Linked DNA regions of Drosophila melanogaster. The protein of the gene in region 1 purifies or fractionates together with the protein of each later gene. This does not show direct contact. Each region holds a gene or a part of one and is shown on either strand. Other genes may lie near its edges. The genes, in order: Naa20A, CG15084 and Dera.

Region 1 (3,828 bases):
GTTGAAAGTCAGCTTTCCTCCAATCAATCAATCAAATACAGATTGAACTTTATATGCCAGGGGGTTTATTTTCTTTTTATTCTCAAAATGGTTTTCTATGCAGCAGCACATTAGTAAATGGGAATCGGTCGATAAAGCACATGGCGATGGCGATGGCGATGGCTGTGGCTATGCCCACATCCGCCGCGAATCGTTCCACTTAGTGATCGTGTCGCATTTGTCTGCGCAGCTCGCGCATTGTGATCTGCAAAAAAAAAACTGGATATGGTCAGAGGATCGTGTGCGGGCTAGATGGGTGGTCATAGCGTTGGCGTTAGATACTGGTTGTCATTTACGATGATGAAGTAATCAAGTTGCTTACGTTATTTACCTTCAGAACTGTGGAACAATCTTTGTGTTTGTGGTTATTTACGCATCGGCTTACGAAATCTTTAAATAATTTCAAAGTCAATAGAATTATCGAGAATTTGTGCTGAATTTGGTAACGGAGCGGTCATGTAACTTAATTACAGGCTTAGTTTCGGTTGGGAAATAATGCACGCAAATACTGGCGCCGGGGGATTGGTTCGCAAGCGGGATGGGAATCCGGTCATAATCGAATCGCATGTTATCACCGGGCAGATCACGGGATTATGGGTTATTTACATTGCTAAATTAACTAGAATTCAATGGGCTGCGAAGTGATGCGCTCGCGCCCATTTCAAATGGTGGATCGGGATTAGTTAGACATAAATGCGTTTTCGGGCGCTACTGGGTTGATATCGTATCAATTCATATCTATATGTTCCAGTCGTACAGGCTGCGTGTACGGTATGACCGACTTTTTGTTGACGTCCCTGGATAAGGCCTTTCTCATGTCTGCAAAGTGGGTAAAGCATCGATTGTTAGGCGCCTCTTAGAAGTCAATGCAAATTCTGTGCGCTCTCACCGTACGCATCCTCGTCCTGGTCGCCGGAGTAGTACTCAAGTATGGTGCGGTATATGATGTAGCCAAGGTTCGTGTACATGTTTATTGCCACCTGGTTGCTCTTCCTCACAAAAAGATCCACAAAGTATGCTCGCTTTCTGGGGGCGAGAAAAAGTAGTCGTTTAGTCTGTATTGATATCCAACGAATTGGGGCTGGAATTACTTCTCCGAAATGTCCTCCAGGAAACTCATGAGCAGCGCAGCCAGACCAAGGCGCCGGTAGTCGGGCGAGACGGTCAGCGCAGTCACGTGTCCGTGCCAGTTGTCCAGGTGTCCCTCCACCTTGCCCATGACTAGAGAATGTAGAGCACACTTGATAGGGGAACTCGTGCACACAGTGAAATGCAGTACTTACTGTAGCCCATTATTTGTCCGCTGGGCGACTCCGCAAGCTGAAAGTACTCCGGCCACTTGGCCAGGTACTGGGTGTAGAAGGACAGCCCGTAGGTCTCCGTAAGTGGGTCAAAGTTTCTGGCGGAGCACACGGCGGTATTGGTATTAGCCTCGGATATGCGCATGTGGATATCCACTGTACTCACACATTGTTGAACTTAAAGAGGTCGTCGCAGGTGAAGGGTCGCAACGTGGTCATCTTATCACTTAATCTCGGCTAATCCGATCCTTTTTATTGCTCCTATAAAATTGCTATACTCGCCGGCAATAGAGATGCGCCGCGGTCGATGGCAAGTTATCGATAGCCTGGAAGCGAGCTTTCCCACAAATCGGTTACCGCGCAATGCAGCCGCGGTCACACTACTAGCACTTCCATTTCCACGCTAGGTCCTGTCCTCGCTCTTCTTCTTCCTCTGCCTCCAGCTGGTATCTGTTGCCTGGCCATGGAACAGTCTCAGTCTCAACGGCAGGCGTGGCCTTCGTCCTCCGCGGGGGGTGGCAAGGCCCAGGACTCCGGGGTGCTGACGCGCGAGGACTTCGACGGCGGACCGGTCAGCATCGACGAGGTGGACACAGGCCTGTTTCTAGGTAAGCATATAGCTCTAATCCTTGTGATCGATGCATTTCTCAACCCTTCCTTACACCACCAGGCAACCTGACCGCGGCGACGCACATGGAGACGCTGCGCTCCTTCAAGATCACCCACATCCTCACGCTGGATTCGGTCCCGCTGCCGCAGCACATTCTGGAGGCCAGCTTTCTGACCACCAAATATATACAGAGTAAGCACACAGATCGGTAGCTTCGTGAATGTGCAACAACTTCACTGGCGTTAATCCCTGTTTCAGTTGCCGACATGCCGCGCGAAGATATTCTGCAGCATCTGGAGGGCTGCGTTGACTTTATCAGCTCGGCCCTGGCCCAGCAGGGCAATGTCCTTGTGCACTGGTGAGCATCTTACCTAGGCTGACCGGCCCACGATTTGGCCACTGACTCTTTGTGCCTTCCAACAGCTACTTCGGCGTCAGTCGCAGCTCATCCACTGTGATCGCTTACATGATGAAGCGACACAATCTGGACTTCCTGCCCGCCTACGAGCTGGTCAAGGCCAAACGGCGCTTCGTCCAGCCAAACGCTGGCTTTGTCAGCCAACTAAAGCTCTTCCGGCGCATGGGCTGCAAGATTGACCCCAACTGCCAGCGCTACAAGATCCATCGCCTGCGCCTGGCTGGCGAGCAGATGCGCAAGGCCAAGATCCTGCCGCAAAGCTTCCACAGCGTGGTCCGTCCGGATCCAGATATAACGCGCGAGAACCCGGAGCCCATAGTGTTCCGCTGTCGTCGTTGCCGCCGCGTCCTCGCCTCCAAGTCGCATGTACTGGAGCACAAGCCGCGTGACAGGCCGCCGCAGGAGGTGGTACCCAAGGAGAAAGAAGAAGTCGCTGCAGCTAAGCTGCCGGCTCAGTCACATGATCAGGCCGAAAATCATCATGGTGCTCGCATGCTGGAGCAGCTGTCCGAGCGCATCCGCCAGTCATCACTCGGTTCACCCGGCCACGAAAGCACGCCAAACTATTGCCGCAGCATACTGTTTGTGGAGCCCATCGCCTGGATGCACCGCATCATGCTGAACACCCAGGGCCGCCTGTACTGTCCCAAGTGCGAGCAGAAATTGGGAAACTTTAGCTGGATCAACGGTTGGCTATGCTGCTCCACCAGCCGATAATCCCGCCCCCCACTCATTCCTCCTAATTTATTGCAGCCTGCAAGTGTCCGTGCGGGGAGACGATGACGCCTGCATTTTATCTGATACCTTCCAAGGTGGAGCTCTCGAAGGCCGTGCAGAACGTGCAGACCACGGTTTAGGTGCAGCGTGCTGGAAATAGAGCGAGATGGCATCATCAGAGACGGGACAATTGGACTCCCTTGTCGGCTGGCAAAGAACGGCAATCGCCCACCTAAACAAAAAGCAATGGAGGCTTGGATTGATTGATCAGTGCTTATCAGTGCTGGCCAACATTGATGTCCTACATATATACATATATGGGCATTAAGTTATGTTTCTATGGGTCATTGGAGAAGTTGGGCTTCGGTTACGCTGTTGAAACATAAGTTAATTGGTCCCATTGCTGAATAGCTCCTCCACCAAGCTGAGATTTTTGAAACGCAAGCAGTTAGCTTAGTTAGTTCCCTCTTGGGAATCCGATCTCGTATCGGATATAAACTGATTGCCAGGTTTACAATATCAAAACTTCCGCGCGAAGCAAACGTAATTTAATCACAAACTAACTTCGGATTCCATTTGGTCAGTCAGTAAATATTTACTCAATTCTTAAGAATAAGAAATAATCACAGAGTATCTCATCCGATCGCAACATTGATATGTGAATCCCCAAAAGCTGAAAGAGATACGTTGATTGTTTCCAGTAGTGGTATATGGTATATTGTTTCATTTTATATAGTTAGCCA
Region 2 (3,600 bases), on another chromosome or scaffold:
CTTGAAGCTGGACAAAACGGTACCAATCGATCGACTGATCAAGGGTCGCTTCCAGGACAACTTTGAGTTCCTGCAGTGGTTCAAGAAGTTCTTCGACTCGCAGGCTCCGGGCTTGGAGAACATTAAGTCGCTGGCCAATGCGCCGTTGGCAAAGCCCATAAAGCCGCGCCAATTCGCCAAGGAGCGATCACCAGTCAACGCCAATGATGATGCGCTCAAAGAGCTGATTGATGAAATGAAGAACCTAAGCCTGAAGCGGGAGGACATCATGGAGGCCAGCAATCAGATCTACAACAAACTGCGCCTGGTCGAGGATTTGGTCAACGACATGATCAACAACAACCAGCTAGTTGAGTTGTGCAAACGCATTCAAGCGGTGCTCTACAAAACGATAGATGGTGAAATCAACGAGGAACCCGTCGAGGTTAATGAGGATAATGGTGATGAAGGCGCCGAACACGCGGATCCCAATGACGGATTATATTAGAATTCTTTTTATTTGTACTTATTTTGTTTTATACAATCATTTAATTATTTATAAAGAAAGCATTATAAAATCAGCCGTTGGAATCATTGTCTGAGGAGGAGTAATCCCCCACTAAGCTTATGGGTTTTTCGTTCGTGGCTGAAGATGTAGTTTCTTCCAACTTTTTACGCCGTATGCCAAGATCCTGTACTTGGAGCTGGGTATTCAGAACCTTTTGTCGCTTGAGTCCACCAAATGTGGTGACTGTTGCTCCGGGAAGCGCTGGACGCATAAGCAGCTCCAACCGCTGCTCGGATTCCCGTTCCAGAGCTGACTTCGTCTGCAACTTCATCAGGGCTGCCATTTCGCGATCTTGTGTGGTCTCCGGAAGGAGAGCAATGTCCAAGCTGCTCTTGGCCAACAACTGTCGATCCAGCTCCTGCTGACCATTGATCTCTTTCTTCTGCTGGCGAAACTCGGCGCGTAGGCGACTATTGGCCATATAGCTGTCATCCCAGACGCTCATGTTGCGCTCCACTAGTTTCTGGAGCACGGGCCTGGCATCTGCCCCTGCCTTAGCATCCTTGGCTTGATGCTCCAACTTGTACATGGCATCGTCGAAGAGACGCTTTTGTACCTCCTTGGTTTCCGGTACAACTTGTTCGTTCTGCAAGGGATCCCAGCGGTTCTCCTGCCGTCTAGCCCCCGAAAGTATAACATAGTCCAAATTGCCGGGATCCGTCTGGATCTCAAAGTGGTTGTCGCACAAGTGGCACTTCATCCGGAACTTAAAAACCGGCGTAGTGTAGTACATGCCCACCTTGGTCTTCTCCGCATTGTAGCGCACGCCCATGCCGATGTGGTTCTTGCATCCATCACACCAGATATTGTAGGGCATCTCAAAGCGGATGATGATGATTCCCAGGTGAATCTTGCGGGCCCGTTCCCGCAGGGCGTGGGTTCCCTGGAACTTGTTGAGACCGCCCTTCTTCGGATCATAGTCGGGCGGATAGTACTTGTTCTGTCCCTTGCGTTCACCCATTTTTTAAGTGGATAGGATTACTTAAATATTTAAACTAATTACAAGCTCAATCTTTTGCTGTCAAATGTAAATAAACATTTCTGCTTTTTTTAAATCAGCTGTTTCGGGTCGCTGGTGATGACATTATCGGTGGTGCGGAAAACGCTAAAAATAGCCAGAAAATCATATATGAATTAGTCTTGTTATTATTAGTCATATTACAATTAATATGTAATAAATATGACCTACTATATTACCTGTTACTTTAATGCCAACTGTTTATTTCAAATTATTTGACATATAAAATAAATAAGTAATCGATAACATCACCGACGGCGTGACAGCTTTTCCATCTGTCCCATCACCAAAATAATAGTTTCTCGTGGGCATCGTCAAAACTTTGGTTGGATTTTTAACCCTTTTTGCCACGTAAATTGAATTAGAATTAGCGTCCGATCCAGGCAAAATGATAATCTACACGAATGATGGCAACCCGCTGGGACTGCAGCTGCTAATGCTCGCCAAATTTGCCAAGCAGCCGGTGCAGGTGCAGTTGGTTAACCTAAATGGTGAGTTCTGCCACGGATTCCCTTCGAATTCTGGGGAATGCTCTGAAAATGACTCATTTCTGATGCAATAACTATTGTTAATTGCAGACGCTAAGTACAAGGACTTGCTGGTGCTGCCCACTTTGGAGCTGGACAACGGATTGCGTTTGTTCTCGCCGGCGGCCATTGCCAAGTACCTTTTCGTGGGCAAGGGGCAGCAGCGCGATGAGGTATGGGTTCCGAAAATTACTTATTGGCCCATTGACCCCTGAAGGTTAAACTAATTCCCGTATGTGCTCTCTCCCTAGTGGCTGGAATGGTCTGCCACGTTGCTGGCCCCGGCTTTGGCCCACCACATGGCTGTGGGCCACAAGGCAGATGCAAACGCGCTGCCCGTGCTGAATGCTCTGGTCAAGAAGCTGGATGACAAACTGAAAGCTACCCCCTACCTGGCTGGCGACAAACCCAGTGCCGCCGACATCGCCATTTGGTCGCTCCTTGCTCCCGATGGCACTCTCAAGGGAGCACAGAACGTGGACAACTTGAGGGATTGGTATGGCAGGGTGAAAGCGCTTCCCGAAGTTCAGGAAGTTCTTGCCGAACAGCCACTAAAGGATCTAAGCTTTAATGCTCTGCAGCAGTCAAATCGCTATGGAGGTTTGCATCATGTACCATTAAAACGTCTCAGCCTGGCGGATGCAAGCAAACTTCTTGTGGATACCACGCCAACGGTGGCGGATACTGTTACGAATGAGGAAATAAGCGCGGCGAAGGCTGCCTTTACCTACACAGCTCCAAAGGAAATCAAGGAGGAGCGAACTGTTCTTCCCAAGCCCGGTGAGCGTAACGTGCTCATCACCTCGGCGCTTCCCTATGTCAACAATGTGCCACATTTGGGCAACATCATTGGTTGTGTTCTCTCTGCGGATATCTATGCTCGTTACTCGCGTTCTGCTGGCTACAACACACTCTTGATTTGCGGCACGGATGAGTACGGTACGGCCACCGAGAACAAGGCACTGGCAGAGAACCTTACTCCCCGTGAGATCTGCGACAAGTACTTCGAACTGCACAACGCCATTTACCGCTGGTTCGGCATTGGCTTTGATTACTTTGGACGCACCACAACCCAAGAGCAAACAGAGTAAGTTTTGGCTGCTTAAGCAATGATATCCTTATCAAAAAACGCTTGTTTTTTACAGCATTGTCCAGGAGGCATTTAAGGATGTCCTCAAAGCTGGCTATATCATCACAGAGAGCGTGGAGCAGTTGCTTTGCCAAAAGTGTGATCGTTTTCTGGCTGATCGGTGGGTATTTCTGGTACACTATTTCAAGCTCCAACTTACCCATTATTCTGCTATAGTTTTGTCGAGGGTACTTGCCCGCATCCTGGTTGCGGCTATGAAGATGCCCGCGGTGATCAGTGCGACAAGTGCGGAAAGTTGGTCAACGCCACTGAGCTGATCCGTCCCAGATGTAAGGTGTGCAACAGTGCCCCAGTCCTGCGTTCCTCCGATCAGTTGTTCATCGATTTGCCAAAGGCGGAACCACAACTCAAGGAGTGG
Region 3 (3,828 bases), on another chromosome or scaffold:
CGGAGCAACTGCGCCCAAAGCCATGTATCTGGAGCAGGACGAGCGCAACCGAATAAACTTCGACGACTCCTTCTTTGCGGTGGACATGCAGGTAAAGATTCCGGATAATCAGCCCCACAAGGAGCCAGCTGCGCCCACAGAGCTCTTGCAGCATGGCGAAGAGCAGGCCGAGGAAGATTTGATGGCGGCTCCTGCGCAGTTAGCCTTTAACTTCAAGTCTCCCGTCCAGGAAGAACGTCGAACATAGATGCGGTTTTTTTTGCTATAGGTTTTAGTCAGTTGTATAAAAAAGCTACAATAAATGCACTTAGAGTGAGTAAAGTCCAGAATACGGATTCGACCAGTTGGCCTCCTCCTACTTCTTCCGCAGCTCCTTGCAGAAGGTCTCGGCAGCAGCAGCCTCGCGAGACACGGGCACATTTTTCTGAGCCTCATCCTCCTCGAGTTTTTTGACACCCTGACGCACAACGCGTTCAATGTCGTCCAGCAATCCGGAGGCTCCGAAACGGAACCTCTCGGGACGCAACCAGCGGATGCCAAGAGTTTCGTTGACCAACGTCATCCAGGCGATCGCATCTCGTACAGTCTTTACTCCTCCGGCTGGCTTAAGGCCCACAATCTGGCACGTGCGTCGTTTGAATTCCTGAATGGCAAATATCATGACCAGGCCAACGGGCAGGGTGGCGTTGACTGTCTCCTTTCCCGTTGAGGTCTTGATAAAATCCGCTCCGGCCATCATGCAAACCATGGCTGCTTTGTAAACCTAAAGAAATTAATGGATTTGAATGGTATTTTAGTATAGGGATTAGGCGATATTGATCTCACATTATCCATGGTGCCCAGCTCCCCGATGGCCAGAATTGTTTTTAGGTGAGCCCTTTGTCCACAGGCACTGCGCATAAGGACCACCTCGTTGTACATGGCCTCCCAGTCGCCAACGAGGGCCAACTGGCGATTGATCACAATGTCGATCTCTGTGGCTCCAGCAAGAATGGCGTGGCTGATCTCCTGCAGGCGGGTCTGCAGGCCGTACTGGCCCGTGGGAAATCCCGTGGCCACCGCTGCAATAGCCACCTTATCCAGTTTGTCGTACTGTTGGATAGCTAAATAGGCGTCCTTTACCCTGGCGGGATAAACGCAAACGGCGGCCGTGTGCATCTCTGGGATGAGAGCCCGGTCGAAGAACTTGTCAAAGAACTGCGGCTCGAAGGGATAGCAGGCGCGTAGGCATAGTCTCCGCACATTGGCAGCCGTATCATCGCCCGCCAAGGTGGTAAGATCTGTCAGCATCAGAGCCCTCAGCGCCCAGGCGATTTCGTTGGCTCCGGTGACATGGCATCGCTGGGACACCGTCAAAGCGATCTCCTCGACCTGCCGCAGCGAGATGTTTACCTTAAGCAGGGAGGGATCTGCGAAATATATATGTATATATTTAAATTCGTACTATTGTGCGAATTCTTACCATAGGGCAGGGTTTTGTTTACTTCCAATTCCTTCACATCCATGCTGCTCATTGCTGTCAAACGAAAATTTAGCTGACTAAATTCCACTTGAAGATAAAATCGTTCGATCGCCGATCTTGACCTCTAATCTTCTACTCAACCTCAACCGAAGAACATGGAGAGTCTTATCAATTTGCTTGTTGGACAGCTGATGACGACGTTGCCAGACCGTTCGCATTAACTGATAATTTATGAGATGGATTCCGTTAAAAGATCACCGATATTAACAATAAGTAAATTTGTTATGTAAAACTCCACAGCTTGCTGTTTAATAAAGCCAATCGCTTAGGTAACTTTGTCTATTTTTTATTGTCTTAATACTTGCGAAATACACCTAATTTTAATATTGCATTTTCGATATGAAATTTGTAAGTACAAGATATTGTGAATTTTAAAATACCGCGTCAGCGAGGTAGAAAACATGTAATTTTTATAGCGCTAATTGAACTACTGCTTTGTGACAAGGGGTTTTCATCGATGTTTGGCCCACTGCTCCCAGTACTCCCTCTTCTGCATTTCATAGAGTCGAGATAGTGTGCGATCAAAGGCGAACAGCTCTTCCTCGCCGGTGAAAAAACTGGCTTTGGATTCTTTCTGTAAACAAAAACGTGTTGATTTTAATGGTAGAAGAATGAGTTACTAACTTACTATATTTAGATCGTCCATTAGGGTTCGCTCAGAATCGGACAGAGTTTTGGAACCTCCAGTAAAGCTGAACAAGTTTTCCAGCGCAACGTCGGATGATATCACCACACGCACTCGGTTATTGTAAAGGGTATCTATGAGCGTGATAAATCGTCGCATCTGTGCCTTCACATCAAGGGTCAGCTGGGGCACATCTCGGATGAGGACGGTGTGAAAGAATTGCGATATCTGTAAGAAATCACTGCCAGCCAAAGGCTAATGCGGAATATGTTGAGTATGGGTAAGATTATGTATTAATACTTTGCTTACGCGATCACAGAGTTCCGAGAAGGTGCTGTCCAGTACCTGGCCACACGTGCGATTGAAGGTCAGATCTCTTCCGAAATGAGTCAGGGTTCGCGGCCGGATAATATCGTTTTCTTCGGCGCACAGGATCTTGAACATGCGATTCATACTGCCGTCCGCATCCGTTTGGCCTTTGACGAAGTAGTTGGTGTCACCAGATTGGGCTATACGTCGGTAGTCAATAGAATCCAACTGGGACACCTTACAGCGACGCTGAAGTAACGCAATGAAGGGCAGAAAGTTCGTGCGCTGCAGTCCGTTCTTGTACAGATCCTCTGGATGCCGATTGCTGGTGGCCACAACCACAATGCCATGGCGGAAAAGGTGCGTAAACAATCTCTTTAGCACCATGGCGTCGGCTATGTCCGTCACCTGAAATTCATCGAAGCAAATCAACCAGGACTCACTGGCAATCAGGTCAGCAACCGGTTTTGTGGGATCAAATGGTGCTGGTTTTTCAGAATTAAAGGCACGGTCAACAGGTCCTTGTCTCTGCTTGGCCTCGTGGATGCGGGTGTGCACGGTGTTCATGAACGAAGTAAAATGGACGCGCTGCTTTCGATGAATCTGAAAGTCACAAGTCATGTGAATATGGGCCTCGAGAAATACTCATTCATCACTTACTTGGGTACAGCAGTCGAAGAACAGGTCCATCAGAGTGGTCTTGCCCACACCCACGCTGCCGTACAGGTACAGACCCTGAGGAGCGTGACTGCCAGCGTTAGGATCATCCTGATCGTCATCTTCGGTGGAAGATTTCCTACCAAAGATTGAACTGAAGAATCCTCCGCCGCCACCGCCCGCCCTGTAGCTGGGTTTATACCCCTGAATCTTGTGGTACAGCGCATCCAGCTCCTTCATCGTCTGCAGCTGCCTGTTGTCGGTCATCAGTTGGCCAGAACTAACACGCTTCTCATATTCCTTCAGCGGACTGAGACCGCTCATGTGGCAGGCGGGCGCCCATAGGAGCAGCGGCTTCTGCCGCGCACAGCGGACCACAAGCCCCAGTTGGTAGGTGAACATAGCAGAGTGCCACAATTAGCGCTTAACTAGGAGCTAAATCCGCGTCATCTAGACATTACATAAAACTAGAGACCTCACTTCCGCGAATTTTGACCGCGAATTTCGGTTGTTGGCCGTGAAATTTTCCCAAACCAGGGCTGGAAACAACAACAGCTGATCTGACAGCTGTTCGCACGGATGCCATAAGGTTGCAAGAGCTGCCAGATTATTTTGAGCAACCGCATTTTAAAATTTAAAATTGCTAAAATTTGCTAACAAAAAATGGACAGTAAGAAATTAATACTTTAGGGCTTATTTTAAAACGGTTTTTTGA

What was found.
Region 2: the proteins of Naa20A (region 1) and CG15084 purify together in Drosophila melanogaster (affinity purification with mass spectrometry, with the first as the bait; one large-scale study listed by BioGRID). This does not show direct contact.
Region 3: the proteins of Naa20A (region 1) and Dera purify together in Drosophila melanogaster (affinity purification with mass spectrometry, with the first as the bait; one large-scale study listed by BioGRID). This does not show direct contact.

The regions. Positions count from the first base shown.
Region 1 is NC_004354.4:19,621,407-19,625,234, forward strand, and holds Naa20A (N(alpha)-acetyltransferase 20 A), read right to left. Parts: upstream 1,669-3,828; 5' UTR 1,560-1,668; coding exon 1,507-1,559; intron 1,439-1,506; coding exon 1,323-1,438; intron 1,261-1,322; coding exon 1,131-1,260; intron 1,066-1,130; coding exon 929-1,065; intron 859-928; coding exon 797-858; coding exon of another isoform or gene 767-796; exon of another isoform or gene 362-766; intron 259-361; exon of another isoform or gene 245-258; coding exon 200-244; 3' UTR 45-199; downstream 1-44. Other genes in the region: MKP-4 (MAPK phosphatase 4), read left to right, coding at 1,804-1,948, 2,011-2,142, 2,209-2,308, 2,374-3,056, 3,122-3,225.
Region 2 is NT_033778.4:18,848,844-18,852,443, reverse strand, and holds CG15084 (uncharacterized protein), read right to left. Parts: upstream 1,601-3,600; 5' UTR 1,509-1,600; coding exon 558-1,508; 3' UTR 488-557; downstream 1-487. Other genes in the region: CG18190 (uncharacterized protein), read left to right, coding at 1-487; MetRS (Methionyl-tRNA synthetase), read left to right, coding at 1,954-2,056, 2,144-2,265, 2,344-3,179, 3,238-3,342, 3,399-3,600.
Region 3 is NT_033778.4:12,423,397-12,427,224, reverse strand, and holds Dera (Deoxyribose-phosphate aldolase), read right to left. Parts: upstream 1,743-3,828; 5' UTR 1,515-1,742; coding exon 1,463-1,514; intron 1,410-1,462; coding exon 826-1,409; intron 764-825; coding exon 356-763; 3' UTR 250-355; downstream 1-249. Other genes in the region: CG13154 (uncharacterized protein), read left to right, coding at 1-247; CG8520 (uncharacterized protein), read right to left, coding at 1,974-2,096, 2,151-2,402, 2,457-3,059, 3,117-3,515.